Lytechinus pictus: one gene and its partner. The protein of the gene in region 1 binds, or shares a complex with, the protein of each later gene. Links are inferred from orthologs where the notes say so. Each region holds a gene or a part of one and is shown on either strand. Other genes may lie near its edges.

Evidence for each region.
Region 2: Bardet-Biedl syndrome 7 protein homolog (region 1) and Bardet-Biedl syndrome 4 protein-like share a complex: the UniProt entries of both Caenorhabditis elegans proteins name them as parts of the BBSome complex. The link is inferred for Lytechinus pictus from reciprocal best matches to the Caenorhabditis elegans genes osm-12 and bbs-4.

Annotation. Positions count from the first base shown.
Region 1 is NW_026974140.1:10,641,902-10,659,014, forward strand, and holds the start of Bardet-Biedl syndrome 7 protein homolog, read left to right. Parts: upstream 1-8,747; 5' UTR 8,748-8,834; intron 8,835-10,552; coding exon of another isoform or gene 10,553-11,827; intron 11,828-15,338; 5' UTR 15,339-15,404; coding exon 15,405-15,443; intron 15,444-16,093; coding exon 16,094-16,222; intron 16,223-17,113. Other genes in the region: uncharacterized protein LOC129265491, read right to left, coding at 10,553-11,827. UniProt on the Caenorhabditis elegans protein: Component of the BBSome complex. The BBSome complex is thought to function as a coat complex required for sorting of specific membrane proteins to the primary cilia.
Region 2 is NC_087246.1:53,083,796-53,100,653, reverse strand, and holds the start of Bardet-Biedl syndrome 4 protein-like, read left to right. Parts: upstream 1-10,382; 5' UTR 10,383-10,384; coding exon 10,385-10,429; intron 10,430-14,599; coding exon 14,600-14,738; intron 14,739-15,517; coding exon 15,518-15,597; intron 15,598-16,858. UniProt on the Caenorhabditis elegans protein: Component of the BBSome complex. The BBSome complex is thought to function as a coat complex required for sorting of specific membrane proteins to the primary cilia.

The DNA of each region.
Region 1 (17,113 bases):
GCTGGACCACACCCCCAAGTTTTGCCCTGGGGTGCTGCGTACGTGTATTAACCTCCATAGGCAGCATCCCCTGGAATTCCGGTAGGTGTGAAATAAAAATGGAGAAAAATAGCGAAAATGACCTATATTTTGCAATGAAACTTTTTTTGAGGGGGGCAAATTTCTCGGGACAAGAATATTATGTAGAGAAAGCCTCTTTTTATTGGGGGGGGGGGGCTTGCTTGTCAAATTTACTTCAACACCCCAGTAATAAAATCGTTCCCAGAGCCCTGACTCCCATCATGCAGCTGTACATTAAATCCATACACGGGATGCTATTTGGCTAATCACATAATATGTGTATTATTATATTATTATTGAATCCGCCAATCGACAGGAAATATTCACAGAATCGTAGTTCTAATCCGACCTGTATGGTTGTTCACATTGTGGTCTCAACTATCAAGTAAAAAATCTTCAGGATTGCATCTGAAATATGAAACTGCATGCAATAAGCTATAAAGATATCTTATCTCTTCTTAGGCTCATCAATCAACACTGTAATCCACACGTGCATGTATCCTGATCTAAGGATTGTGGCAGACACATTCATCCCACTCCCCTCCCCCCAGCCGTTATCACATCCCTCTCTCTCTCTCTCCCTCATCCCACCCCCTCTCTCCCCCTATCTCTCTCTCTGAATTTGTCTAAAATCTTGTCTAATTTTATGTTTCGGGGTGGGGACTGTTTCTCCGGAATCCACACAATCAATATTAATTGTTAATCTCTTTCCTATCATATTCGTGTGTCTTATTCACCCCTTTGTTCATTCATTAATAAATTCTCATATTTCCTTCCCAAGATTTCGTGGTGTTGTTTTTTTAATCCATGAAAGATCGGTCTACCCTATACACTGTAGCATTACCAGTGGCGTAATGAGCCAAAATGCTTAAGGAGTCAGACATGGAAGCAAATTTCTATTAAAAAAATAATAATTAATTAATAAAAAAACTGTGAGCCAAGCAAGCGAGCCAAAAAATGACAATTTTTAATACAGAAGTCTAATTAGTTTGACATCAGAATCATATTTCACCCTAGTTCCTCTCCTTTTATTTCATTTTCTCCTATTTTTTTTCTTTCCTCGGGTCATGAAAATGTTGTTGGGTCCAAGCTCTCAACCTCCCATCTGTATATGGACCTACGCCAGTGACCACATCCCTTGATTTTTATCATTATCTTTCTCAATCGTCATTTTAAAGGACAAGTCCATACCCATTCTTTGAATAAGAAGAGAAAAACCCAACAAGCATAACACTAAAAGTCCATCAAAATCGGATGTAAAATAAGAAAGTTATGTCACTTTTAAGTTTCGCTTAATTTCACAAAATAGTTATTATGCACATCCCGGTCGGTATATGCAAATGAGGGAACTGATGACAACAATCACTCACTATTTCTTTTGTATTTTATTATATGAAATATGATATATATATATATTCTTATTTTCTCCTTATTGTCCTGTAAAACAATGTTTTATTTCTCCCTGAACATGTGGAATTATATTGTTTAACATTTATGGTTCAGTAAGGTTGATCCTTACTGTCAAATCTGTAAAACTTGAAATATTCAAACAATAAAAAACAAAAGAAATAGTGAGTGAGTGATACCATCGATTCTCTCATTTGCATAATGACTAAATTGTGCATATAACTGTTTTGTGAAAATAAGCGAAATTTTAAAATGTCACAACTTTCTTATTTTACATCTGATTTTGATGAAATTTTCAGCATTATGCTTGTCTGATTTTTCTCTATTGATTTAAATCAACATTTTTCTGAGATGGACTTGACCTTTAACTTGAGTTCCAAATCCGTCATTGGGAATGATACCCTGCTTCCTCATCCGTCAAGCTCAACTGTTTGAATTTCCGGAACTACATAATACCGGGATATATACCAGCAGCCTCAATCGTCCTCAAATACGTATGTATAGGCATATCTCCCAAAAATTACCCGCTTTGAAAGGGGCCGGGCCAGCAAGGGGGTAACCGTACAGCAAAATCCACTTATAAGGCAAACAATTAAACAAACAAACAAACACACAGACAAACTGACAAACATTATGAGTACACCAGTCCTTTCCGTGCGATCGAGCCGATCGGGCGCAGCAAGCCATGTAAAATCATACGCATTTTTCAAACGAAGTTGACCATTATAGATATTTAGAAAACTAACTTTCCCGTTTTAATACCATTTTGCCAGATTATCTATTTCTGCAGATGAAACAGCTGCTATTTTACAATGTTCCACAGGTCCTGCAGGGTTCAATGATAGGATTCTTTGTTATTCTTTGATTTTACTCTACATTCGATGGAGAGTCGCGAGCAAGGGAAAATAATTACCATCTTGATCAGGCCCGTAACGGTATAGCCGGGGGCGATGGTCTACAGAACCCCGCCCCAGCGTTTAAAGCAAAAAAAAAGAGGAAGAAGAAAGGAATGTGAGGAGGAAGCTAGGGTCGGAAGAAAAAGATAAGAAAAATGAATGAAACAATAAAAGGGAATGGAATCCCAGAAGGAAAAACCAGTTCCACTGGACCAGTTAGACCAGTAGAATCTTAACTGGTAACTCTGGAAATTGGAACATCGGTTTACTGGTCTAACTGGTCATACTGGTCCAGTTAAAATTGTACTGGTCAGGTAAAAATTAAACTGGTCTTGAATTGTAACTGGAATTTTATACTGGTCTTGTTTCTGGAGTTTGTCACTGGTCTTCAAACTGGTATCTAACCCAAGCTGGTAATACTGGTGTTACTGGTATTTCCTACTGGTCTGACTGGTCCTCCAACTGGTCGAACTGGTCCTTCAACTGGTCTTACTGGATCAATTTACTACATGCATTTAGTTTGTTATAAACCATGGTCAGTGAAATGTGGTATGGAAAAGATGGTTAATAAATTAATCTTTCTGCTGTAATTTTAAATGTGTGAAATTACACATTTTCATTGTGAAATAGTTTACACAATTATTTAGAAAGTTTTTTAACAACAATGAGTGCCATTGCAATGATATTCTTTTCTAAATCCTGATTTTTCTTTAAAAAATGGGAAATATGCAAATGAGGTAAACCATGTGATCAGCATCATCAGAATTACTGGTATTACTGGTCTTGACCAGTTGGAAAGTCAATTTCAAACAATAATGGAATTACTTTTGACCAGTTGTTTATATCAAAGGAATATAACTTTGATCTTGATAATAAAAGGAAACAATTATTATGATATTTAATACTAATGATGATTACAATAATAATAACGATAATAATAATAATAATGATAATAATAATAAAAATAATACAATAACAATAATGATAACATTAATAAGAATGATAACAACAATGGTCATGATATAATCATCATCATTATATTAATTTTAATAATAATAATAACAATGATGATAATAATAAGAATAATAATAATAAAAATAATAAAAACAATATTAATAATAATAATAATAAGAAGAAGAATGATGATGATAATGATAACGATAATAACTTTATCTGAATTGCAAGATTCATTTTCCATAATTCGTCAAATTAATTTGACTTGAAATAAAATCATTATTTTTATTGGACCAGTTACACCAGTTTGATGAAAAACAAATTAACTGGTATTAGTACTTTGCTTTAACTGGAATACAATTGTTGGAACTGGTCACCAGTTGATTTTTACTGGTACATTTAAAAATCAACTGGCCCAGTAAAAATCTACTGGAAACCATTTATTGGACCAGTAACACCAGTTTGATGAAAAACAATTTAACTGGTATTACTACTTTACTTCAATTGGAATACAATTGTTGGCACTGGTCTCCAATTGATTTTTACTGGTCCAGTTAAAAATCAACTGGCCCAGTAAAAATACACTGGAAACCAGTGAAAATATACTGGAAATTAACCAGTAAAAAATTTACTGGTCTTACTGGTTTTTCCTTCTGGGATGGTAGGGAAAAAACCTTTCAGGATGATAAATAATAAACTATAAAAAAAAAATTGCTTGCGTATCGCGCTCACATTCGCGTAAATTAATAAATACTCTTCCTGTTCATGATGGCAAAAGGTGAATAGAACGTCAAAAAAAAATCAACTCGCGCTTCGCTCTCGAATCATTTACAATGCCCTCTTTATGCCCTCCTATATCATAAGTTCCCTGTGATTAAACTTCTGACACTTATTAATAGTATTCAACAGAAACTTGTCGAACTCACAGCTTTGGCATCTCTAGGCTACAAACTTGGATGTTGGACATGCATGGGTGACTAGGTATTATTTGACAAGACACATCCATTTTTTAACCATTCCATATTCACTTGAGGAATATGCAGCCAAGAGCGAAAAAATATGTTATGTACCCAGCCAGTGGCGTACCGTGGGTCACAGCATTGGGGGGGGGCACCAGCAAAAATTTTGAGTCACTTAGTGAGTGCGCGAAGCGCGCCCAGTTGCCAGGTATACTGACCTAATATAGACATTTTAAGGACAGTGCCATAAAACGGATATGTCTCTCACTGCTCAAATAATGCGAGCGCGAAGCGCGAGCTTAAATTTTTTGATATTAAGTCCTAAGAAGGGACATTATATAATCAATGATTTGTAATAATGATACGTACCTGTCTCGCTAAATAATGCGAGCGCGAAGCTGAAATTTTTGTAAATATTGACCCCCAAACAGAAAGATTTTAAGGACTATATTTTAGGAATCCATTAAGCGTATACACATCTCACCATAGTCATCTAATGCGAGTGCCAATAAGCGCTTGCTGATTCTGTTAGAATTACATCTAAACATGCACATAAAGCACTTGTAATCATGATTATCAGATTAATCATGATCAACATACCCATCTCACTAATCAAATCTTGCGAGCGCGAGCTGAAAATTTAGGAAATTCAGACCTGAAGAGGAGCATTTTAAGGCTTGTTTGAAGGAATACACGAAGACCATACGTAGTTCACTAACCAAATGATGCGAGCGCGAATATATTCTGATTAGAAAAAGGGACATTTTAAGGACTGATTCTAGGAATTCATGGAGAGCAGACATATTTCACCAATCCACTAATGCGAACGTAAGCACGGAGAGGAAATGTTTTATATTAAGACCATAAAATGGGGCAATCACTTTAAGTAGTCATGAAAAAGAAGCATACTATTGTACATAAAACAATAATAACTCGAAGTGCGAGGAAATATATTTGGCAGTTTGGTGCATATTGACTAGAAAACGGGAGGTTCTAGTATAACAGGATTATATATCTCGGTAAACAGACAATGTGAGCACCAGGAACAATGAAGACATAGGCCCCGAGCAAATTGTGTTTCATAAAGTTATGAAAAAAATGTTTCTTATGTACTATAACATAACATAATTATGAAATAATATAACATTATAATGAACAATAATGTCTTCTTTCCCACTACGTTTCTCTTCCTTTCTCCCTCTTTTTCTCCTTTTCCTCTTTTTTGGGGGGGTCAGCCGATTGGGGGGGGGGGCACGTGCCCCCCATGCCCCTCCGTTGTTACGCCACTGTACCCAGCTATTAATCCTCAAAACCATATTAATCTCTTTATATCTTCAACATTTACATTTCTCTTTGTAGCTGCTCTTTTTATATGATTAAGTTTAAATACCATGCTCATCGTACTGTTAAGAATTTGTAGACAAGCAATATACAAACAAGGATAATTTTTTTTTTTTTTTTAGAAATGAGATAAATTAAGTGGTGTCCTTTAATTTGCCATTGCCAGTATGCATGTAGGCATATTATTTAAAGGGATGGTCCAGGCTGGAGATATTTCTATCTAAATAAATAGAGTAAAATTCACAAAGCAAAATGCTGAAAATTTGATCGAAATCGGATAACAAATAACAAAGTTATTGAATTTTAAAGATTTGCATTATTCCGGTAAAACAGTTCTAGGCATGTCTTTATGAATATTTATTAGGTGGGTTGATGATGTCATATCCCCACTTGTTCTTCTGTATTTTATTATATGAAATTAGATTTATTTAAAATATTTCTACCAAGGAACAATTGGATTGACAACTGATTAAGCACATTAGTTATTTATTGCCGCAACTTATTTCATCATATTGAAGACACATCATGTACGCACGTATAAAATAACATTTATGATTTCATGTAATAAACTAAGAAAAAGGAAAGTGGGGGATGTGACATCATCAGCCCACCTAATGAATATTCATGACGATGTGCATATAACTGTTTTCACAATATATTGATAATCTTTAAAATTCAATAACTTTGTTATTTGTTATCCGATTTTGATGACATTTTCAGCATTTAGCTTTGTGAATTTTACTCTATTTATTTAGATAGAAATATTTACATGTACAGCCTGGACCATCCCTTTACAAATGGTACTGTACACTTAAAAGTGGATTATTTTCCTCAAGATTGTTTAAGGGTAAAATACATCGTTGCTAAGGTAAATAGTGTTGCTAGGCAATGGAATTGTGTCAGTAGATGATGGTAAATTCCTGAATACTGTTTAACAACCTATCATATGTTAATTTTCTCAATATTTTTACTCTACGGCACAACTTCCTCAGCACATTTGACCGAGATGAAGAGTGGTAACATAGCCGTTGCTAGGGAATATTGTTACTAGGCAACACATTTGTCTCCATGGAAGCTAAAAAATAGTCAGTTTGTTGAATGATTATTGAAAACGAGGTTGTAGGCTGCATCTAAATGATAATTGTGTCAGTATTATTGCTCATAATGAACTATTTTTACACAGATTTGTCCAGGGAGGAGAGTCGTTATCATAGTCGTTGCTATGGAAAATAGTCGTTGCTAGGCAATGAATTGGTATCCATGGGTAATGTGAAATGGTAATTTTGTTGTTGTTCTATTGAAGACAAGATACTGCATGTTAATTGATCAGGTATTATTAACTCAATCCACTTTTTTCACCACAAAATAGTATAAAGTATGTGACTTGTACGTACGTATATATCAATGTAGTCAAAATGAACAATAATATGGCGATTTGTACGATAGAAGGGGGTGTGTTAAGTAGAGCTTAGCACATTTATTTGAGGTTTGCAATAGTTAAAATGGGTTTTTTAGTTCTTTTTATTATTTTTCAATAATACTTTATAGAATTTCATTGGTGTAACTTATTAGGTTTAATCTAACCTAGTTAAAAAGTTAAAAGTTAGGTTTGAAATGGAAAAATAAGTGGTTTACTTAAGGAGCCAACTGGTTGCTAAGGAAAGTTATGTTGCTAGGCAACAATTTCTGAGAAAATGTTCATAAAATTCATGCTAAGTTGTTATTCAGTAATCCTTCTTACAATATAAAGTGGAACTATCCTTTAAAAATAAGAAAAAATACCTGATGATTTAAATTAAATAGTAAAAAATCAATATTCACGATAAATTTTCAATATGTATTTAAAATGGGCGTGGCTTAATCAAGGCCGGTTTCCATGGTGATGCTACACATTACGTCACTTTTAATGCCCAAATCCGAAAAATTCAGAAATTTTCCTTTAATTTGATGTATGATTTTGCTTTGATCCAGCCGGGGGGATTAAAGTCAATAAATAAGCCACTTTTTGGCTTCTGGCCGCTCACCTAATACAACAAGCAGTTCTGGCGCGTATGATCTGGAGAGATAAAGCGCCATCATATTCATTTATATACTACCACTTAACAAGTTTTACAGCTTGTTAGTTGGTTTCACCCTTTTTGTTTAAACAAAGCTCGTTCTTTATTCAAACATGTGCTGAAACTGATCAGTTTTTAGGTCAGAATGTCAAAAATTTCCACCTCGCACTGAGTAGGTAACCCTCCATAGCTGGATACACATCCTGCTTAGAATGCCAATCTTTCAACTCGGAATGTCAAAAATTTAGCTCGTGCTTCATTCGCGCTCGCATTGTTTGGTTGGAGAGATGCATATCTTGATCATGGTCTTTAAAAAAATGGATATAATGTTCAATAAATTTTTGGTGTGAATAAAGGAAATATCCAACAAATCGAGCTCGCATTTGCAATATTTTATTTATTTGTGTTCTGCAGTGGGCGGCCCTGACGATTAAAGATAATTTCTCCAATTATCAGGAAATAAGGGATTTGTATATGAATGGGGAAAACCTATGAATGGTATGATCTACTCGTGTGATAATTTTTATCTGATGCCGTAATTGTTTAATCAATTCCCAATGTATGTCCAAGCCTGATTTCTTTGCTTTTTTTTTTTACTCATCCCTGATCTCGGAGGCCGGCGTTTTTGGAACGACCCACATATTTTGGAATGCAATCACGTACGTGATTAGGCATCAAACAAGTCATGAAACATTTCCCATGTCTCATCTATATCGGTTTCTTCGAGAAACAATTCCCAAGGGGCGTAATGACTTGTGAATGTCCAACATCTGTTTTATCGTTTTATCGTTTTATCATAACGTTAGAGGAGATCGACGAAACTTCTTTACTGCAATTATACTTTTATCTTTATTTCGAAGGAAGTAACTGCGTTGTTATGATCACTGATATTTCGCATATACTGAGAATAACCTGAATCACTGTGATTTCATTTCTCACAAATATCATTTTCTATCAATTTGCAATGGTTTAGACAACTGAAAGAGCTAAATTAAGTCAATAACAAATATAATGATCATCTCCATATCCATGTTTAGTCGATCAACTACAGAGCTAGAGCTAGAGCTAGAGGGCAGCAAACGTCGAATTCCATATGAAAATTTTCCTTTGCAGAATTTGTGGAGCGTTCGTAGCAACGAATGCAGCAAATATTATTCAAGGTAATTGGATCTTATCATGTAATTTGTAACAGTTATATTTTATAGTGTTGTCTGTTTTTACATCTAACATTGTATGTATAAACTTTTAAGGTTTCTGGTTGTAATAGTGGCAGGTTGTGCAGCTATATAATTTCTACTTTCCATAGATTGACTTTGAGTTTGAGTTTGAGCTCAGTTTAGTCCCACATATTGAATGTAATGTAAGTCAGACGAATGTCGACTCGGTTATGGTGGTCCTAGTCCTAGACCTAGACAGCTGGCGCTGGCAGCCGTCTGTTTCGAGGAGTTTTTTTTATTTTTTACATTTTTTATTTCTCCTCATACACAGCTCGCTATCGTGCAGCCACCGTTAGGCCGATTAACAATGCAAAATCTGACGGGGCTCATCGATTTTTGTCTTTATTTCATAAATTAAAAAATAAAAAATATACAAAAAGAACTTTACCAAATTCCAAAATAAAGATTGTTATTCCGTTTTACTTTTAGCCTGAAATTCACCAAAACGGGGAATTAACAGTGACTTACTTCGGCTGCCGCGCAACTTCACTTCCCTGTTTTATCCGAACTTAATACATAAACATGGCCATTGAGTCCCTGTACAGATCGAGCTAGAACTTCGGTCTCTGACTCTGTATTTGGTGAGTGGAGCCAACAGAGTTCAGCGGAACAACCAACATAAAAGTGTGTTATGAGTTTTTGTCAGACGTGTATCAATCAGATATGATTATTTACGTCTGGGACTGACCTTTAACGTCACCATCCGAAAGACGTGACCAGGGCTCGAACCTCGAACCTCTGCATCAATTTGTAACTTCCCCGCATAGCTTGGATTACAGGCGCACGCCACAACGCCCAGCAAGAGACCGAAGCTTTTGGTCTATAGTATGGTGGTCCTAGCCTGGAGGCTTCTGGAGAGTAAAAGTATCTACTGTACGTCACTCGTCATCCCCGACCATTTTCCATACAGCAAAAGGTAGGGGATGGGACTAGAGGTATGTGAGGCGTACTCATAGACAAAATTTGTAAAATGTAAAAGTAAGAGAGTTTGACTTACCAGTCTTTCTCCCGAACCAAACATTGATCTTCCTTCCGTTGTTGCTGGAATTTATCTTGGACTCAACAATATATTGTCATTTATTCGAGGACTCTTCGAGAAATCGTCGGAATGTATGATGAAATTTGGTTGTTGTTTGAAGGTTTGCATGGTGGTATGTACAATCGCTGATGTGGTTTACGGTACACCATGTGAAGTGTAACTTGTAGAAACAGTGGATAGGAGAAGAGAAGAAATGGATAGGCGAGAAAGTGGAGATTTGAGAGTAGATTATTCTTTCTTGAAAGTAGTCCTGAAAAGGACTGTAAACCAGGAAAGATTGATGAGTTGAGAACAGCTTGAGTAGTAGAGCTAGTGAGGAGATGCTGGCTTGAGTCGGCGAGTAGAGATGATGAGTAGTAGAGAGACTCGACGTTTCGGGCAGGTTGACTGTCCGTCTTCAGGAGTGAGTGTTCGCTTGGCGTGCGGCGGTACTTATGGCGTTCGTGCGGACGTGGGGGAAAGCGCTGGGCCGGCGGTCACGGCGGGCGGACGTCGTAGGTGGCGCTCTGTGCGTGGGTCGGCGGTTTTTGGCGGGAAACGAGTTGGCGTGGTATGCGGACGCGGTGAGTAGACGGCGGGGTGAGTTACGGCGGCGGTGTGTGTCGGCGGCGTGGTAGGTACATCAGTGGTGGCGTTCCGTGCGTGTTGGTCGGCGGACTCGTCGGGTAGGCTTCGGCGGGATTGAGTGGGTGGCCTGGTGTACGGATGAGGTGTTGGGTCGTCGGCGGAGGTTGTAGCGAGGCGTCGGTGTCGGTGGCGTGTGCGTCGGCGAAGTTGCTGGTTGAGTTGGTGATTCGTTCAGACTGCTGTGTTGGGTAGGAGGGCTTGGTAGGGTGACGGTGGACGGCGAGTTGCTTGTGGAGTTGGTTGTGGATTGGTTGGAAGTTGGGTGGTGACGTAGGATTGGGTGCCAGATTGTGTTGATGTGGAGACCAGGGTCTTGAGGCACGGTGTTGTGTTGATGTATCTCAATGGCTTCCCTGACCCTTCTGGTATTCCAGTGCCGGATGTTGGTGATTAGGTGGCTCTTGTCCCAGTCTATGCTGTGATTTTCTTGTTGTGCGTGTTTGACGATGGCAGATCGGTCCCAGTCGCTGCGTCGGTGGTGGGTCTTGTGTTCCTTGAGTCTGGTGTCGAAGTCTCGGCCGGTTTCTCCAATGTAGACTTTGCCACAGTCGCAGGGGATCTTGTAGACGCCTGGTTGCTTGTTGGATGGGTGCTTGTCCTTATGAGAGTGCAGGATGGAGTGTAGCTTGCGGGAGGATTGGTGTCTGACGAGGATGTTGGCAGAGTGAAGGATGCGTTGTAGTCGGTGTGAAGTCTTGCCGATGTAGGGAAGTGTTATGGTGGCGATAGGCTTGGTTTCGGATGGGTTTTCGGTGCTGTTGGTGTTGGGTTGGTGGCTGGACGGTTGAGTGTTAATCCTTCTCCTGGGGTAATGGTTGATGGTGGTGAGTGCATTGGTCACGTGCTTGAGTTCCTGCTGTAAGTGTGCCTTGTCGCTTAGTTGGTGGGCTCGTCTGATGAGAGTGCGGGCGACTGATTGGTGGACGGATGGGTGGTGGTGTGAGCGGAAATTGAGGTAGCGGTCTGTGTGGGTGGGTTTCCGGTACACCTGGTGAGATGGGAATCCAGATGGTGTCTTGGTGATGCGAACGTCTAGAAAAGGGATTGAGTCGTCGCGTTGGGTCTCCATGGTGAACTTGATGCTGGGGTGCTGGTGGTTGAGGTGGTTGAGAAACTGGTGAAGGTCGGGTGTGCTGTGCGGCCAGATGACAAAGGTGTCGTCGACATAGCGGAGCCAGAGTGAAGGAGGTTTGTCCGCAGTCTTGAGTGCTTGGTGCTCGAAATGTTCCATGAAGATGTTAGCGATGATTGGTGAGAGAGGTGAACCCATGGCTGCTCCTTGTAGTTGTTTGTCAAATCTCCACTTTCTCGCCTATCCATTTCTTCTCTTCTCCTATCCACTGTTTCTACAACACTTCACATGGTGTACCGTAAACCACATCAGCGATGATGAAATTTGTCATGATCCTCAGCAGCGCATAGACTTCTACATAGAGGATGTAACGCGCCCTCTTGTGCTCAATTAAAGAAAGCTAACGGAAGCGACCACACCACTGTCCTCTACAGAGCTGTATAAAAATGCTTAGTATATATCTCTATGTTCTCACCACAGATACCTGTTTCCGGTGATGCTTCTATTTCGGATCTCCGAGATCCAGCGATAGTAGTCTCTTTCTCCCCTGACACACAATATTTTGTTATAATTATTTTATACATAAGAATAATTGTTGTAGCGCCATCAGCTTAGTTTATTCTATAATGAACTGTATCTTGTCGTATGGTGAAAGGAAATATGATGCCTTTTTTTTGGGGGGGGGGGTTATTGCTTCTTCTCTCGATCCCCCGATCCCTCTCTTTTATTGAGTATTATCATTGTAAGGGTTAATTATTAATATTATTATTTTGGTTTTCTATTATTTTTCATATTGTTATGGAATATTCATTTTCATCATCATATCACTTTTGTAAGCCCACATTTTGTACCGTCCTGAAATTAATATGGGTAAAGGGTGAAATGTGAAAAAAATGGAAGGGGCAAGAAACTCAAGACAAAGTGATAAAACAGAACATAATTACGTTCCAATTTTTTTTAATGAGTTTCTTTTATTTATCCAGGATGGGGAGCACATCAGGCTCGTGCCCACCCCCTCGAAAGCCATAGAACACATTTATTTTGCATCCATTTTGTTTGATAATTTGTATAAATTGTTAATTTCATTTGATTGTAATCCTTTATGTTTGGATTTGAAATCAATTAAATTAACTTGAAACTTTCCCGCCCTCCCCCTTGAAAATTTTGATCTGCCCCTAGGCCTAAATAGGCCTTTGTGGTAAGAGATTTTTTTTTAATTTTTTTTTTTAATGAAAACCCTTTAGGTTTAGATTTTAAATCAATGAAAACAAACTTGAAACTTCATACTGTATAGCAAGCAGCTGTTATCATAATTGTGAAATTAATCGTTACATAAATCTCCTTCACGGGGGGGGGGGGGGAGCTTGTTATTTTTTTCTGTAAAAGAAACCACCCCCTCCCCCTTTGGAAAATCCTGGATTCTCCCCTGATTAGACCCACAGCAAAGTTCGTTATTCCGAACTTCTGTTACATCAATAATTCGGAAATTAATGCCTAACTTTGTAAAAATATTTCTATCGACAAGTTCATTAATCAGAAAAGAATAAGGGGCTTCTTCATCAAGAGTCCCATATTAAACAGAAAATTAACAAAATCGAAACAACTGAATTTCTCCTTTATTTTTTTATTTCATACAAAAATGTCTTATTTCATTTCAGTTTCACAACTACTAGTATCACTTTTGACTTTGTATCAATATGAAACAAAATTGCAAATTTGTCTTGATTGAGGCTATCAAGACTTCCTTACCAGAATGCATTACGAGCAAAGTTTCGTCGAAACCTCAACGGTCAGTGGTCCAAACGGGTTGATGAGCCTCTATGGTTTCGTGAGATCTTTTTTCTTTTTTGATTTGTCACTGTCGTACACCATAGACGTAATGGAGGCATTTGGATGAGGTTCAGGTTGAGAAATCGGTGAGTTTCTACTCATTTTTAATATCATATTTATTAATTCAAAGTCATATCCGTCAAAATAACATTTTACATCAACGGATCAGTTCAAGTATGAACTGATTCGCGATGCTTTGGGCAACGGATGGGGGGGGAAATGAGCAATTTTAACAATAGAGAGGTATACAGCCGAGAACGAGGTTATATTATAACCTCGTTCGTAGGATGAGTGCTGTACGTAGGCTTACTCTCCATTGAAGCCTGGCTCTGGTTACCATTAGTGCATTACTCTCTATATACTGTAGGTTTTCCCACGATGAAACTAGACCTAAATCAGACATTTTACTTATCGTTTTGAGCCCAAACTAACGTACATGGGCCAAAACAATATTTACCCCCCGAAATTGACAACGTTCCATATATTTATTCAATAAATAGTAGTAAATTTGAAAAATAATTAAGAGCACGAGCGTTTACTTACCCAGTCTGTTTTCGTCGCCATCTTGCCGCCTTTGTTATCGATACTTAATCACTTGTTTTAGGTATTCATTGTTTGTTCCTAGTTATTAGTGTGATTTGTTTTTCTCCTTTTTGACTGTTTATACTTTATTTGTTCTTTGTTTATTCCAGTATTATCTTTGTATGTTTGTCTTGATGTATTTTACATATATGTTGTTGATATGGACCTCTGCATATGCAGCTGTGTCTGGAATAAAGTCTTGAATTGAATTGAATTGATACCTAGATACCACACACGTGTAGAGCTGCCAACTTAGATTTTTTTAAATTCTTGCATCGGCCGATAAATATCATGAATCGTAAAATACTTGCATCGGTCGATAAATATAAAGGTCAATTTATGATTTATTTTTTCATTCACCAGAGTGCTCAAAAATTTTAATTTTGAGCATATTTTTTGTGTAGGCCCTTTATTGGTGGAAAGTAAAATTGCCAGAAAATTGTCTTAAAGGTCCCATGAAATACAGCAAAGATGCTGATTTATTCGTTAGCTTAGTGGTTACTACGATTCCATCAAAATTTTACCCGAAAAACATCCCACATCAGGTTCAAAGGCAGTTTTATATTGAAAATTGAGCAAAATTCGCTCCGCCCACAAAATTTCAGCCCAATTTGGTTTCGTATATCACGTGACAATTATGACGTCAGGGAAGGAAGCTGCTGAGCGTTGTTGACGTTTGGAGCGTGAAGTGCCTATTGTGGTTGCACGTGTGGATTCAAAGTAAATAAATTGAATTGCTGGAATAATATTCAGAACCTGAATCTTCAAAGTCTGAAGAATCAGATGCAGCTGATGACGATGCTGCAGCCATGATCAAAACCTCATAAAAATCTAAAAAATCCGTTCAGGATGAGCCCGGTCGAAACAGCAACTACACGAGGAACGTGTACAATAACTAGTGGTCCGGCTGCACAGCTGGGAAAGCCTTCGATGACGTCACAATGATTGACAGGTTGATCGGTTGACTCTTTCGAAAATTTTAGTGGGCGTTCCCGTTGAAGTTCATTTCCATGGAATAACTCAACACCGATTCGTCGTACACAGGAACCGATGGCAAATTCGTATTTTTCAAGTAAAACTACCTAATAATAGATATGTATCTAGAATAAGATGGAATTTGTGTCATAGGACCTTTAACAATGTCTATATGTCTATATATGAATTCATGAGATCAGGGGAATATGTTTTCTATTTTAATTTTTTTGTCTTGCCTGTACTATCATGATTAATGGGTTTCTCAGAGTAGCCCTCTTAATCTAATTCTGTTATGATTTTGATTCCCCCCCCCCCCTTCCAGTACATTGGATGGAAAGAATTCATAGAATTTTGATGAGGAGATTTCCATAGAGATTAATCCTTCAAGATGATGGAACTAAGTTTAAACCGAGTGGATTATCTCCAGGTGAGTCCTCAGCCCTCTTTTATTTGAACTTGGGAGCATTTTCATGAAACAAATAGGCATTGATTGTCAGTGACTGTGAAATCCTTGCATCTGATTGGCTCAGAACAAATTAGTCAGTGAAAACCAACTATTTGCTTCATGAATCACTCTCTGAATGTTGTTTAGCTATATAGGTTTAACTATGGGTAGCTAAAAGGTAAAAAAAAAATTAATTGTAGATGTTAAATAATACTCGAACTACTAAAACCTGTCTTGGATGTTGAAATAATAACTCAGACTGTAGTTTTCTTCACATTGTATTTATGGTGTAGTTCTTGTTTTAGTCTCCCCCCCCCCCCCCCCCAGAGCATGAAAGTGATTTTTTTCCTCATTGGTCTCACTTTGGGTTTCATGTGAATGTCAAAGGTGTTTTAATTGATTAGTTTAATGTTCAATATTGTTGTGATTTATAATATGGTTATTTTGTACACAAAGACATTTATCGATCTTTGGACCATCTTTCTTTAATTTGTTTTATAGCTTCATCAAAATAAAATCAAATATATTTTATGTTGTATAAGATGCGACATGCTTAAAAAATAAAAATAATAATGGCAAAATAAGGTTAGAAGAAAATAATTTTTTTATTTTGAACCTATTTGATTTGCCAGGTTGGAGTGACATGCCCTCGTACTATGAGATTGTTACCAGAGAAGAAAGCCAAAGCTCCTCAGAAGGTGGCGGTAGCTGATCAGGCAGGAATTATTCAGTGTTTTAATATCAAGAAAGGGGAGGCAGCGGTGAGATATTCTACAGTTGTTTCTTTCGATCAGTTATTTTGATAAAAATAATAATTGTAATGATCATACTGTGACAACTTTGATGTAACATTTAATAAAATGATTAAGAACTTGTTTCCTTTGTAGAGCATCCCCTCTCTATCAAAAGTTTTGGTTTCTAATGATCTGATTTTTCGCGGTCTGTGTGATGGGTAAATGAACCATATTTTCCAATGATCAGTTTAACTCAACATGAACTTTTCAACTTTTCAGTTAATTGCAAGATTCATGACTGATTTTGGGACTAAAAATTGGCATCCAATCAATCGGAAATTTTCTTGCAATATAACTTTAATAATTATGTAGGCCTACTCTTGGATATTGCATGGGTTCGGCCCTGGTACCACAATGTTTTCAAGTAAAAGTTGCCAAGGAATGGTAGAAGGTCATGAACAACTTTCCAAATGATGCTTGTACCGTGGTATAAGCCCTGTATTTTGTCGCTAATAGAACTTTCGGAAACCTGGGAAGCATTTCATGAAACAAGTTTTTTTTTTTTACTATTTGATATAAGCTACTGAAACCTTTGCATCTGATTGGCTCAGAGCAAAATAAAACACTCACCAGTGATATAGCTACAGTTGTTGGCAGTGGATGGCCTAAACGTCAAAGAAGATTTCTGACCAGAACTCATAAAAAAAACACTGCTTCCGTCCACCACTAAAGGCCTGGTCCCACTAGCCGACGGAAATAAAACGTATTCATAGTGGGTACTGTACAGCGGACAAGCAAAATTTCGAGTTTGCTCCATCCATTTTCATCTGCTCCAGACAATGGACAAAATAGGCGAATAATGAAATCACAGTGGACAGATACATGATGGATATAGAGCATATGAAACATGTATGCAAA
Region 2 (16,858 bases), on another chromosome or scaffold:
CAATTCCAAAATGTCGACATTAATAAATTTATCAAAATTTTGCAGCATTATTTTATAATGGATAAGTTTAATAAATAAATAAATAAAATATTTATGTTAACATTTTCTTTTTGAAAACACATGAATGTATATATGTAAATAAACATAAGGTAAAGGCAAGGCTCCACAGGGCAAAAAAAAGTGTGAGAAAATTCCTTCCCTAAATTTGCCAAAATGTTGGAAAAATTCACATTTCATATTAATGAAATGTCTTTCCAAAGTATTTACTTTCTCAAGAGTTGTTTTAGAAGTCATTTATAAACAAGAAAGAAAGTAACTGTCTGTTTATTTTTGGCTAGAAAAGACACAGCTTCGAAAGAAACCAAGTAACAACATACATACAAATGCACATGTGGGACTGTGATGTACTCAGATGTGTTTTTATGTGTATTATTTTCATTTGGAAATCGGTCTTTTTGAGTCAAAAGAGAGGTCATGATTCCTCTTTTTAATGCTTGCAAATAATCAGGATACACCAGATTTTAGCAAAAAGGTCTGTAGAAGGGCATTTCATTGGTGTAAAATGTGACTTTGACTTGGATTTTCACAGTTCTGTGGAAGATTTCTTAGTGGCAACATTTCGTATTGCAGCTCCCTGAGTCTGAATAGGCTGCTAACGCACAACTGCTTCAAGCATGTAAAGCTCACGCCAGCCGGCCGGCGCGGCCGGCTGGATAAAAGCTACTTAATGCTATAGCGGTAGGCCAACTTTGTGTGTGTGTTTGTGTGTAGATCAACAAAAAGGGCGCATGACGAACTGGCTTGCAATTTGAACTGTAGAAAGTTGATAAATGCGTGCAAAATGGGGAGAAAAATTGCGCTATTCTGAAAATTATTGGTTGCCCGAATCGGGCCACCAAAACTTAATATTTTTCAATAATGGTTGCCCGAGGTGAATTTCTGGTGGCCCTGGGCCACCGGGCCACCGCTAATGTCGAGCCTTGGTAAAGGGAAAATAAGTCTTAATTCTCTCTAATTTAATTTTTTTTTTTTTAATCAATTTCTATGCCAAAGTCCAATATATATTAGAATTATATATTCACTCTTTATTCACATATCGGTGCCTTTGCATTGCAGTTCCAACTTTTTCAATCCTATAACACGCATACATTTGTCTATTTATCTATCTATAATAATCTACCGTTATTTATATCATTTATTATCATTGTTGTTAGAAATATTGTTTCTTTTAACATTGTTATTGTTATTACCATCATTTATCTTTTTGCTCTTTTCTTTTTTCTCTTCCCCTTTTGTTTTTCCTTCTTTCTTTCCTTTCTTTTCTTCTTTTTCTTTTTTGTCTCTCCCCCTTCTCTCACCAATCGATTTAGAGACACATTCCTTTCACTGACCATTACGTCTCTAAAGTACTTTCATGTACTAATTTTTTCCATTACTCTTTAAATATGTGATTGTATATATTTGTAAATACTTTTTCTTCTTCTTCTTCTGGAAACAGTACAGTCCACCGTCTGGTGTATTGTCGTACTGGTGAAGTGCAGCGTGCAAGTGTATGTACATTATTCGATAAAAAATTGCTTACAGCGTGCAAGTAAAAACAAAAACAAAACTTTGTAAATATAATTGAAATGATATTGAATATGTTATGTTCTATATGATAGTGTCCCCAATACCCGAATTAGGGTAACATGGGTAAATAAAATTAAAATCCTTGTCATCATCATCAAACTTTGATGATGATGACAAGGATTTTGCGTGACAATGACAATGACATGATGTCTTTGATTCAAAGACATCATGTCATTGTCATTGTCACGCAGCCACTGCTCTGTTGCGTATCATTACATTATTTAATTATAGATACGCAAGATAAAATTTTAAATTTTATCTGAGAGATAAAATGTCATCTCAGAATACCAATTTCATTTTAAGAGATAAAATAAAATATTTTAAAGATAAAATGACCTCAGAATACCGCCCCTGGGCTCCGGCCCGCGAAGCGTGCCGGAGCTCCCCGAGTCTGAGAGACGAGACTGAGTTAGCTAAGCTCAGCCTCAGCGACGGGCCGTACGGTACCGGTATTCCGTGGTACGGCACCGGTACCGTTCCGCGCCGCTTTACTTTATATTTCACGAAAATAACTAGGATATTTTACGGCCAAACTGTTAGTTTATGACTTCAATGTGACATAATTTTATGGAGAAAAAACTCACCATTCAAACCGTACATAGACCCAGATTCCTCCAGGAAGAATTAAGATACCGGACTGTCCGGTAGGGGCCTACTCGTTTTTTTTTTTTATTGCACTGATCAATCATCTCGGCTATAGTGTGTAGCGGCAGATTTGGTTCGGCGGCGCGGATACTGTATCCGTCGGCGATTCTGGATAGCTAACACAAAAACATTGACAAAATATCATAAAAATGTTTGGTCAAACATCATGAAAATGTTTTAGGGAAATGTTAAAATCATGTGAAAATGTATGGTGTTCTCATTGCTATAAAACGTTTTCATAACGTTAAGCTGCAACACAATTTCCAGGATTTTCGTCAGGGGGGGGGGGGGCAAAAAGGTCTTTCAAGCTCGTCAGGGGGGCATGCATGCATGGGTGGTGGCTTTGCATGGGTGGTGGCTCGTCAGGGGGGGGGGGGGGCAGACTGCCCCTCTGCCCCCCCCCCCCCCGTAGGTACGCTAGTGCTGCAACATTAAAAAAACATTTTCCAATGTAGGCCTATTTCAATAATATTAATAAAATGTTGCAATTATCTTTCTGATGTTTCAATGTTCTAAAAACGCTTATAATCATTTCAGCTGAAACCATACATTTTAATATAATTTAAACATTTCTTTTAAAACATTATAATGTTGTTTACGTTTAATGATTTAAATATGTTATTTCAATATAATTATGAAATGTCGCATGCAAAGAAGATATCTTATGATGTTTCACCTATACGAATCATTTATTTTACGAAAACGATATGGTAATCAAGCTACATACTTTTTTGAAACTTTTGATGGTGAAACAAGTACGTAAACATAATCACGCCTTGTTATATCTATTTAAGGACGTTCCACAGTTATATTTGTGCGCATTATGATCTGCGCATAGTTTACACTCTGCGCGCTGACGTCACAATGGATGAACAGGTATTAATTAGCTGCGGGTATGAGCTGATTTTTCTCATCTTCTGCACTTTAACTGCAGATCCGATGCGTTATTTCATGAAGCTAAAAATTTGAATTATTCCATGGACCATTCAAAAAAATATTCTCTACAAATTCAAAATACTTTACTCTGCAGTGCTGCCAAGAATCACGAATATTAGCCCGAGTTTGAATAAATGGTAGAGTGGTTTTGATTTTTTTTCTTCACATAGATACTAAGCATTCGGCCCATTTTTGGTGTTTTAAAAAGCACATTTGCTCTAATAAAAATGCTGATAGTTTAAAAACAAGCACATGAACCCCTATTTTTAATGTTTGTACCTCTTAGGTATACCTTCCTCTACAACTCTGCAAATTTTGGTGAAAATTACATGGATTTTGAATAAAGTGCAGCATTTATTGTACGTTTGTAGTTTGTTACTGAAATTTTACATTTTTCAGATTGGGATTTTGTTATCTTTTACGCCATTTTTAAGAACTGACAGTGCTGTTAAACTTAAAATTGCAAACAAATAGCACTATTAATAGATTCTCCATTCTAACGATACAATTATTAACTCTCTTGCGAAATTTGATGACTTTTTCATGTATTTTGAACGAGTAATGGAGGTTTAAACTCATTGTAGTAATCTTGGGCGGTCTAAAAATGCCAAATTCTTTTGAATGCGCAATTCTTAAGAACATCAATTTGGGTGAACTTTAAAGCTCTATAGCAAAAAATCAAGCACATGGACCTATGTTAATTTTTGCTTATTTCGAATATTAAGGTTCTAAAGTATCTATGTGCAAAGTTTGGTGAAAATGACATGGATTTCACTTTAACTGTGGAACGTCCTTAAGCTGACAATTTGGTCATTCACTGTTCTCATGAATATTCATGACTGCTACATCATGTCCAGGGGTGGTATTCTGAGATCCATTTTATCTCAGATAAAATAAAATATTTTATCTCCGTTAAAATCAGTGAGATAAAATACCCTTAAAATCTCTCCGAATTGGTATTCTGACTACAATTTTATCTTCATTTTATCTCTGTAAGACACACCTATTTTTTAATCAATATCCAATTAGAAACGCGCTTTTATAGCTCTCTCATATCACTCAACCAATGAAAATCCATTCCGCCAGGAGGTGTGGCAAAGGAGTGAGATTGCGTCAATAAATTGACTTCAAATACGCTTGCAATATACGCTTGCGCGTCTTTACAGAGATTTCTTTTTTTTAAATGACGATACTCTCATCTTTTTTCGAAGTCTATATTGCATCTTTTCAAGCATCATTTCAAAGACGATATTAGTCAAGAAAAGTCTTATGAAATACTTCCTGATTGTACAGGAATAACGTTAAGGTATTATTCTCAATAAATATATAATTTTTCTTCATTTTCATGTCAACATTTGTAGTTAATTCACCAAGAAATAATGATGAAATCAACGTCGCGGAGATAAAATAGCCCCTACCCTCTTTTAAGTTTATTTTATTTTTTCTTCAAAGTAACATGAGCGCAAGCACATCATCCGCGTTGCAATGGCCAAATCATGGGCCAAATACGCGAAGGGTATGTCTACGCAGGCACTCCTCTGTTGCGTATCATCTGTAGATACGCAAGATAAAATTTCTACGCAAGATAAAATTTAAAATTTTATCTGAAAGATAAAATGTCATCTCAGAATACCAATTTCATTTTAAGAGATAAAATAAAATATTTTAAAGATAAAATGACCTCAGAATACCGCCCCAGATGGCCAAACGTATTTCCAACGTTGGCAAAATGTTTTTCCAACAATTATATTAGAACGTCGTAACGTTATCATGATGTCATTAAATCATAAAAGATGGTTTTCCTCTACATGATAATTTCCAACGTTTTTTTTAATGAAAATATCCCTATAATATTGTCAAAATATTTTATTATGACCTTTCTAGAACATTTGATGTCATTTTAATCATAATGTAATTAATATTATCAAAATTAACCTTTCTAGTTTGATTGTGCCGTCATTACATTTTGATAACATTTAAAGTAAACCTTTTACATTGAAAATATGTTATTAAGATGTTTCTTTGATTTCTGAAAAGAAATCATCATGAAAAGGGTTTTGTTTAACATGAATATTTATTTACTATATAGGGTTTTGAAAACGTAATAAAATGATTTAAGATGGTGTTCATTATGATATCTTTTTTTTCAAACTTTTTAGCCCTCCAAAGGCCTTTTATATTGAGTCAAAAATAATATCAAAATATACACCAGCAAGCATTTTTACACGATCAAAAAATGAACTCAAACAATAATAATTCTTAAACTTTTCTCTCAAGTAAATAAAGAATGAAGTGACATCCATTTATAAATTTATTAAACAAACCCGATATAGAACTAACATATCTCTCGTCTTCATAATATTGAATCATTTTTTTTTATTTGCATATGAAAACACTGGTTTTTTACTATTTAAAGGACAAGTCTACCCCAACAAAAAGTTGATTCAAATAAAAAGAGAAAAATCCAACAAGTATAACACTAAAATATTTTATCAAAATCGGACGTAAAATAAGAAAGTTATGACTTTTTAAAGTTTCGTTTATTTTTCACAAAACAGTGATATGCACAAGTAGGTGAGTCATTGAATTCGATGATGTCCATCACTCACTATTTCTTTTGTTTTTTTTATTTTTTGAATTATACAATATTTCATTTTTATAGATTTGGCAATAATATATAAAATATATAAAAAATATATTTAGATCCCATATATAACTTTATAAAAATGATAGCAAAGTTTAAAAAAATTGTTAATATTATATTATAAAGACACTAATAAGGATGTTTCTCATACATTTTGAAATATTTTGGCAAATATTAGAAGAAGCTTTTTTTTTTATGTTTGTTGAACTATTAAAAAAACATATTTCAAGGGCGGATCCAGCCTTCGCCAATAGAGGGGGCGGATTTTTTCAGCCACATTTTCCCCGATCGGCCGCTCGAAGTTGATTTTTGTTTGTTTCTTTGAAGGGGTCACTTCTAAGCTTTATTCTTATGAATCAACATATATATATCCAACAATCTCGTATAAGCCTTATTTCAATAGTGCGAAGAGCTAGCTACTTTTTTTATTTCATGTATTTTGTCCTAAAATTTAAACATTCCGGGCAATGTTTGTGATCCTAAACGAGATGTGTATCCAACTACATGATACGTTTTGACTTTTGATCTAATAAAAAAATGATCTGTTAACGGCTGCTTGCAGTTAGCCCTGAAGACGTTACATATTTCAACAATCAAATAATGCGAGCGCGAAGCGCGAGCTAAAAATTCTGATATATCTACCTGAAGAATGGAAATTTTTAGCACTTTTTGTAATCGTGAAACGGTATGTATGTAACTAAACAATTGATGTGAGCGCGAAGCGCGAGCGGAAAAATTCGAGATTTACACCTGAAAATGGGACACTCTATTCATGTTTTGTAAATCATGAAAAGGATGAGAAATCTTCTTACATTAATATTGCGAGCGCAAAGCGCGAGCAGAAAATTTTTGATATTGTGAAATGAAACTGGATAATGATTTGAATAGAGAACAAGTAAACAAGCTGCATATCTAAATATGCATGCGCACACGTGTTCCAGATTTCGATCTGAAAAGGGTCAATTTAAGATCTGTATTTCAAGCACTTTGTAGGAAAATTGTGAGTTGGATATGGATCACTTTAAAAAAAGGGCTCATATGTTTCATTGATACTACTTTGAGTTTTGACATAGGACCAGAACAACCCAAGAAAGATGAATATATCTTCTTATTTCTCTTCCTAAGCGCGAGACGAAACTTGTCGATATTCCATTCTGAAAAAAGGGACAATTTGATTATTAAATCAAAATCTTATTTATTAATCCAATAAGCCTAATGTGAGAGCGCGAAATCTGTTAATATTATGACCTGAAAACTGGACATTTAAAGCACTTTGTATTTATGAATAAGATGCATGAGTTAATATATTTTCAACAATCAATGCGAGCGCAAATCGCGAGCCTGGGGTGGTATTCTGAGATCCATTTTATCTCAGATAAAATAAAATATTTTATCTTCGTTAAAATCAGTGAGATAAAATACCCTTAAAATCTCTCCGAATTGGTATTCTGAGAACAATTTTATCTTCATTTTATCTCTGTAAGACACACCTATTTTTTAATCTATATCCAATGAGAAACACGCTTTTATAGCTCTCTCATATCACTCAACCAATGGAAATCCATTCCGCTAGGAGGTGTGGCAAAGAAGTGAGATTGCGTCAATTTATTGACTTCAAATACGCTTGCACTATACGCTTGCGCGTCTTTCAGAGATTTCTTTTTAACAAAAATGACAATACTCTCATCTTTTTTTCTAAGTCTATTTCGCATCTTTTCAAGCATCATTTCAAAGACAATATTAGTCAAGCAAAGTCTAATGAAATACTTCCTAATTGTACAGGAATAACTTTAAGGTGTTGTTCTCAATGAATATATAATTTTTCTCCATTTTCATATCAACATTTGGAGTTAATTCATGAAGAAATATTGACGAAATCAACGTCGCAGAGATAAAATAGCCCCTACCCTCTTTTAAGTTTATTTTATTTTTTCTTCAAAGTAACTTGGGCGCAAGCACGTCATCCGCGTTGCAATGTCCAGATACGCGATGGGTATGTCTACGCAGCCATTGCTCTGATGCGTATCATCATAGATACGCAAGATAAAATTTATACGCAAGATAAAATTTTAAATTTTGTCTGAGAGATAAAATGTCATCTCAGGGGGGTGTTTCATCAACATTTTCATCCGACAAGTTGTCAGATCTGACATCTTTCTCTGATGTTGATTGGCTGAGAGGTACTGTTACTATGGTAACTGTCGGATAAAATGGGACTTGTCGGATAAAACGTCCGACAAGTCCTTTCATGAAACGCTCCCCAGAATACCAATTTCGTTTTAAGAGATAAAATAAAATATTTTAAAGATAAAATGACCTCAGAATACCGCCCCAGACCATAAAACAAAAAGTTTTACAGAGCACTTTTTAAGAATCAATTTGCAAATCAAACAAAATGATGAAAGTTCGATTTCCGAGCTGAAATATGTTTTCTATGCTGAATTCAAATTTTGATATTTCAAGCTCCATATCAATATGTAAATCACCTAACAGGCAATGCGAGCGCGAAGCACGATCGAAAATTTTTTATAGTGACATGAAAGATTTTTAAAATTATTTTCCTAGTCTTCCTCTCATCTTATTTTATTCACTCGTCTTCCTCTTCTTGTGGTTCCCCTTCTTTTTTTCCTCTCTTCTCCCTTCTTTTTCTTTTTTTTCTTTCTTTCCCCCTTTTTCTTTTTTTTGCTCCGCCAATAGGGGGGGGGGGCTGGGCCCCTCGCCCCCCTGGATCCGCCTATGTATTTTTATTACGTTTCTATTACGGTTGATGTTATTGTATTCTAACATCATTTTTTTAATGATAGTTTTTCATCAAATATATACCCTTATAAAAATGTTAGTAAAATGTAATGAATTTCTGAAAAAATTCATTTTATAAAACATCGGAAAATATGTTTAAAATACATTTTAGTAACGTTTTTGAAAAATATTAGGGATTTTCTTTCAAAAACGTTTAGTGAAAATATTATTAAAGCCAGGCGCGTAGCCAGGGGGCGGTGGGGGTGGTCGCCCCCCCCCAAAAAAAAAGGGGGAAAAGGAGAAAAAGAAAAAGCGACAAGAGAAAGGGGAAGAAGGGTATAGCTTTATTGTTTTTCTTTTTTGGGGGGTCAAAAGAATAAAAACCTAAACGAGGCGTTGTTTTCTCTCTTCATACAGAATTTTGCTTCGGAAAAATATATAAAATGCCTTTCCACGTTTTTCCCCTCCCCGGCCACAAGACTTGTATATATTCTTGCCATTAATTATAAAGTATACACATAATGGTTAGTTTCGGTCATGTTCGCTCATTTGGTGTACGTAGCAGACGATGCTAGACTGCTCGTATATAGTACACTTACGCAGATCCTTTTGCAAATCAAAATCAATTCCGGACTCGATATTTGCTCCTCAAAACTGTAGCTATATTATAAATATCAGTAGGCAAAGCTTTATAGTACAAGAACATTGTTACTTTTAACATATAAATGCGTTAATTAAGTTTATTTGGACTGTATTAATTGTTTCAAATGAAAAGGGTCTAGAAATAGAAACTATCATACGTTAGTCACGTGACGTTGTACACAGAAATATGCCATGTTCTGCCTGCTTGATCTCAAAGTTTGGGAAAAAAATGATATGAAAAATATTATTTTAAAATGATATGAAAATATTATTTTAAATCGCATTGACACAAAATTTCGGCTCTAATTTTGTTCGGAGCGGGTAAAACACTGCCGTCACTCTCTGAGTCTCCAATGCTATTGCTTCTGCTTTTCAGCCCCGGTTTTCAGCAAGCAATTTTTTGCAAAGTATCTGCTCAAAGGGGAGGCATTCCCGTGCTGTATGAAAAAATATTTTTGAGTTTATTCTATATTGCTGCATGCATATCCACCTCCCCTTTCGTTTTGTACCATTACATTTTAATGTCACTGAAATTAACAGACGGCTGCCAGCTGTCTGAGTGGGACCAATTTGACCAAAAAGCGAGTGTCACTACTTCAGATCATCCAAAACACTCGATCGCTACTCTCGCTCGTTCGCGAAAGAAATAAAGCCTTATAATAGGCCAACATATTTTATCAAAACACACAACTACTTCACACAATGATCTATAATCTCATGGTGAAAATCTGTTTGCACCCCTTGCACCAAAATGCCAATTTGATAATGTAAGTGCTATATTTTTTTGGCTTTGCCCATTCAAATTCACGAAAAATCTGCCGCCCGTGACCCCAAGCCCCCATCCAGGGACCGATCCAGGATTTTCCAAAAGTGAGGGGGGCGGGCACATTTTCCCGAGGAAAAATTTGACAAGCAAAAAAAGAAAAGAAAAAAAGGGTTTTCAATATTACCTAAAATAATAACATTTCGTCCACGTAAATATCTGACAAGCAAGATAAACAAGTTTTCACTTTCAAGGGGGGGGGGGGGGCATAGAAATATATACTAATAATGGGGGGGGCACACTGCTGTTACTTTTGTTACGGCATTTTTACATTACTATGGCGCTGGCATGCTCGCTCTAAAATTCTTGGAGATGAGGTTGACATTATGAGCGAAATGGCCGACGAAACTGTTGGTGTTGCCAAGGAAAAGGTACGCCAATATTTTGATGTTTTCTTCTCCTTCCTAATTTTGTGCGGTATTTATTTACATTTTAGCGTTTTAGGAATAACCATGAAATGATAACCAATCGTCTAAATTAATGACTTTCGAAAAGAAAGTATTTTCTATCGAAAAAGCGTCGGTGAAATCAAAATTGGCGATTATAATTGCACGGTCCCACATGCTCGTGATTGTGTAGTATGGTATAGTGCCTTAGTGCCTAGTGGATCGTTACGTATTGGATGGGGGGTCGGGTGTCCGGACACTTTATATTTTTGAAGCCTTCTTTTTTGTCTTTGGATTACACTAAAAATATGAATTCAATACTTGTAATCATCTTCTATTTTGTTCTTTATAATATTTCCTAATATTTTGTACTAAAAATTTATGAAACTTCGCTTTCAAATTTTTCCAAATGACTTTCTAAAATTGATCGTCCGGACACACAACAACTGGGTAGGCCTATATAGTCAAGTATTGTATTACCGGACACTATTGTGATTCCGGACGCGCATATAAATGCGTTCGAAAACAATTTCGTACCGTAAGACTTCCGCAATTCATTTTCACAGATCAATACATAGAACAAGATTGCAAAAACAAGGCGAAAAAATCAAATTTCTTCCTTATTTATCTCTAAAATGACAGAAAATGCTTAAAATATCATATAACATAGTTTTGCATTAACAATTGAATGAATTGATATATTTTCTTACGGAAATATGGGCCTGATTTGCCGAATTTCAATCTCGTCGGCTCCTTCGATCGAATGATGAGGTGAGGTGTATTGTGGGTGATCGTCGACGGCTAGTTCTCAAGGTACCGTGCGCGAGGTTTACCGTGAGTAGAGCCGTCGACGATCGGCTGCGCATCGATAGAACTTGATGAGCGTCACGATACGAACGAGCACTGGAAAGTGCCATGAAACATGCAGCTAACCAAAAAATAAAAAATAAATTAAGTTATCAAACACAAATTTATTACCAACATCTGCTCAAATTCGATATAAAAAAAGCAAACAAAAAGTTAGAATTTATTCATGATATGATATAAGAAGAAAAAAATCACAGAAATTTATTCTTACATCATTATAATCAAGGATATCTTTACCCGTCCGGCGCGCGTCCGGAATCATGATGTAATTTGTCGCGCACGAAAATAATTGTTTTTCGTGGAGGGGTATGCGGCAAGTGCGATGCAAAGAAAATGGTTGGTAAATATAAAATAATTTTATCATATTAATAATTTTCATAATATTTGGAATAGCAAGTGCGAATTTTTCTTGATTGTATTTCCTCTAGAGTCTAGTTGTCATTTTTAAAGCACTGTAATAAAGGTGTCCGGCAATAGGATACACTGCCATACTAGTATTACTACTAGTAACTAACAGTATGATGGGGGGACCTAAAGCTACGCACTTTGTTTTCAAACAATAAAAACTATCCCAATTTTAATATTTCAACAAATATCTTTCACTAATTTGTGGCAAACATTTTAAAGATCATTAACCAGAGGCAGTGTAGCTCAGTCGGTTAGAGCGCCTGTTCCGGATAAGATCGTAGATCTCAACGTGCGTGGGTTCGAGTCCCGCAGCATGCCGGAAGACGTCTAACAAAAAAAACTGTTGCTAGAGTTGTGTGTTAAAGTGCCTCACCGCTGTGTTCAGTGCGGGTGTGAATGCAGTTGGAAAACACTCCGTCCATCGGAAAGGACGCAAATGTTGGTCCCGTGTATAGGAGAGTCACAACCTATGCACGTTAAAACCAATACACTATTCGTCAAAGAGTAGGGTGTTCACCCGGTGTATTGCACCTGCCGGTCCCCGGTACTACAATACTGCAAGAATCTTCAGGATTGAAGGAGGCAGTGTAGCTTGAAGAAGAAGAACCAAGGACCAAGAAGAAAATATCGCAAAACTCACTAATACGAAAATCCCTCCGTCCTGTCCGTGTTTTCCGAACACCTCTTGATTTCGCCACCCGATGTAGAAGGGGTCCTAAAGCTACGCACTCGATTTATCATGCAAAAAAATTATTTCCTGTGCCTCAATTTCTAAAATATATTCATATTATTATAGGATAAAATGAAACTTAGGAGTTAGGCGAATATTACTCCAAAATTCGAAACAGTTGTTTTCTCTGCATTAAATTAGAGATTTACTGCAGCCTCTGACTCTGTAGAAAAAATTGAACAGGAATCGTTCGTCACTCTGCAGTCACAGTTCCACACACAGAGTGCGCATTTGCCATAAAAACTGTATGCGCGATGAGTGGTGCGTAGCTTTAGGACCCGCGCAGCTTTAGGACCCCCTACCATACACTTAGTAACACTTTTCTTGAATAGTTATTTGTCTTGTCTTAGTTGTTGCCCACAATCATAAGAGTTGATTATTATGGCGAGTGGAATAAGGTCAGTGAAGAAGGCACCTGTCCTTTATTTGATATTCGCTTTTTTTTATAGATCTAACAAAGTTAAAAGTTACTAGTAGTAGTTATAGGGCCTAGATAAGATAGTACTACTACTAGTAGTAGTAGGATGGGGGGTCGGGTGTCCGGACAGTTTATTCTTTATTGTCTTTGGATTACACTATAAATATGAATTCAATACTTGTAATCATCGTCTATTTTGTTCTTTATAATATTTCCTAACATTTTGTACTAAAAATTGATGAAACTTCGCTTGTAATTTTTTCCAGATGACTTTCTAAAATTGATCGTCCGGACACACAACCTGTCCGGTCACACAACAACTGGGTATACTAGATTATTTCTAGATCTATTTTTAATTTTTCTATTTTTCAATCATATGCTGCTTTAGACAGCTGGCAGCCGTCTGTTTCGAGGAGTTTTTAATATTTTTTCTATTTTTTTAATTTCTCTTGGTGTGTGGAGCCAACAAAGTTCAGCAGAACAACCAACATAACAGAGACCGAAGCTTTTGGTCTAAATGCTGCTTATGCATATCAAACACATAGAATTAGACCTAATAATGATACATACCTAATAATATTAATAATACATGTAAGCAAATAGTACCTAGCAGCTCATCAACCTTGTGACAAACACACTGAGAGTATACCGAGGAGATCATTTGGGTGTGGAAACGACCCACAACGAACAACAATAATACTACATGAGATTTGTATAGAGCACTCTCCATCTTGATTAGATGCTCAAGGACAAGGTGCTTCAGAGCAGAACAACAAAAACTATTTACATATAAATGTCTGAATAATAAGTCAATGTCTGTCAAAAAGCAATACAGGTATGTTTTTAGGTACCTCAAGTGAACATCAAGCCCGTGAACTTGCTCTGATACTCCGAGTGACAAAGGTGGGATTTTATGGGGAAAATATAAAATTCATGCAACATCATGATCTTTAAAAACAATTAAAACTGATATTCTTACTTTACACGAAGTTTCACTTTTCCATGCTTCTATCAGTCTCAAAATTGGTGATTTAGAGCCAACATGGAGTTCCCCACACGTATTAATAATTCGCTGCCGATTTCAAAACATCGCATGCGCAAGAGTCTAAGCTCGGACCCTCGGTCCTGCGATTCGGCATCAAATCACTGATTTTGAGACGTTTGTGTAGAGTAAGCTAAATGTATGTTTAGGTTTTCATGTGGTGGCTTTCTCAACACAAAGTGCCACAGTTTGTCTTTTTTTTTTGATGAGCGAGCATTTGTCATGTTTGCCCCCCGAGAGTTCGGATAGGTGAAGCGGAGGGTAGCGGTAGTGAAGTGTAGTGTAGCCTATCCAAACCCTTGCCTGAGGTATTAATTATGCATCAAAGACCTTTTGTAACTGGGGGAAGTTCCATTTACTATATGAAAAATCAAAAGAAGGATTTTAAAGATTACCGGTATGTCTTCCCTCATTATTCTCATAATATTCATGTCAGAAAAAGATCAATTGTTAATGCAAAATTATGTTATATGATATTTTAAGCATTTAGTCCAATTATGCAAGGTCTGGGATCAGCCTCTGCAGAAACAAGATTGTGGGTGAATGTGTGCATCGCCAGATAAGTCTAGGCTCTATGTGCAAGTTAAGGGTGAAGAAACGATACTCCTCTACAGAAAAAAAGGATATAAACAATGTGCAAATGTTCTTCCCTGTGGTTTAATTGAGGATTGTAATCTTTCCTTTCTACAGCTAGCTCAAGAGGAGTATGTCACGCCAATGAGAATGGAGCCTGAGCCAAAGAAACCTTCAGATTTAGTCCCTGAAGCAAGTGCTCCATACTCTGACAACCCTCCACCAAAACCTCAGGCAAGGATCAGGGGTAAGAAAGGTAAGAAGCTTCCCTTTTCAGGCATTTGGGTCCAGTGACATGAACGTCTTTCAATGATTTTTGGTAATGGTCAACCAGCATCTAAGCTAAGAGACTGAAAAGTTCTACCACTTAGATTTGTTTTGCTGCTTCCACTCACAGATCCTTGCTGTTGGCATGTTTTTGTATTGTTTGTCCATTCATTCATCCAGTTTTCTTGTCACAAATATCTGCAAACCTGCATATCACAGGGCCAAGTGCAAAATGTTATGACAATGTGGTACTCATTTAATTCATTATGTCACTAATGCTTTTCCCACTACATATTTTTATTTCTAAGTTTTATTAAATTTATATATTTAAAAAAAAATATTTTAAGTTTTTCTTGGGGGGGGGGGGGGTCAATTTTAAATGAAAAAAATAAAACTAGGCAATGTTTAATGGGTCATTTTAGTTACAGTAAACAATTTTTTCTTTCTTTTTGCTGAAGTTAGATCCCTATTTGACCACAGAAGGAGAGTATTAAAAGGTTGCAAAAGACAATTCTTATTCAGTGGTGTGTAAAGATGGATTGTCCATTCTTTAGTTGTCTAAATTCCAAGCATAAACATGAAAACAAAATACACATAATTTGAGTTTGAATGCCTGCTGGAGCAGAGGGAATAAATGACCATCCCTTACCCTGGAAATGAGTGTTCATCTGATATATATTTTTAAAGTATATTTTGTAATATTAAATAAATAAGAAAGAAGTTGTTTATTTGTCATAATTTACAATTTTCCTTTTTATTTTTCTGAAGCTCCTGAACTTCCAGTATTTGAAAGGAGAAACTGGTTAATTCATCTTCACTATGTCAAGAAAGAATTTGAGAACTGCAAGGTAAAATGGGTTAATTTTCAGTTTTGCTGATATTTGATGGCGTAAGGACTTATTCGTGTGTATCTTTCATTGTCGTTTTGTAATGATCATTAGGGACTTGTGTTGGGAGCCCTAAAAATATATGTTTGTTATATGAAATCATTGTGGTATACTGGTATTGAATAATTTACAAATACATGTATATTAAAGTAAATGAAAATAGGTAAAATATCTTTCCGTGCACAAGAGGTTTTTTTTTCTAAATAAATGAATTTAACAGATTATGTAACAAGGCAACTAAGATTGATTACATAAAGACTTTCATACATTTTTTTCCAGGGACCAAATCATCAAGCCTTATGTTTTTCCTGTTAACTTCGTCTTTTATGTCATTCTCGCCAACCGCATTTGTGAATCACAATTGTATGACGTTTTGAAGAAAGATAGATCTGATAATTATGACTATAATGTATGTATTATGCATAATGTGGATTTTATTTGAGTAGGGTGTATTTTAGAAATTAAGAAGTGAGATAGGGGGAGACCGGGGTTAGTTGGAACATTTTTGACAAAAATGGCTGTAAAATCCAAATAGATTTTATTCGAGAAACAATCAATATATCAGCTTGAAGCATATATCTCAGGGCTTCAAATGTACCCCATAAAATTTTTAACTCTATTATGGTTACTGAAAAAATCCACCTTGAACAAGACTATCACAAACGTTCCAACTTACCCCCATATCGGGGTAAGTTGGAACATGGTATGGGGTAAGTTGGAACACTGCATGGTCAATTAAGAATTATACTAAAACTACTTAAAACTGTAATATTACATGGTTTTAGCCTATTTGCTTTATCTTATTCAAGTTCAAAATATTAAAGTGTGGATTCGTTGAACTTTATGTTTTCTATTATACAGCCACTCACGCAAGCAGACTGTGTAGTAGAATTCCGCATATTTGGGTGCGTTTGAGTTTACATGCAATTAAGTGTACTATCAGCAATTTCATGTACTTCTGCATCAAAATATAAGACAAAAATTGATTGTTTTTATTTTTTTTCATAATTGATTAAAAAAATTTCCAGAAATTTGTTTTTTTTGTATGTTTTTGCCTTTAACTCTATTTATTAAGCTAATAGAATTTTTGGTGAGAGTATCAATTTTCACATTTATAACAAATATCCACCAAAAAATGCAAAAAAATATAATTTCTTATGTATTTTTTTTTTTCGAACTTTGTTTTTTCCGATGGACTTTGTCAGGAGTCTTTTGCGAACAT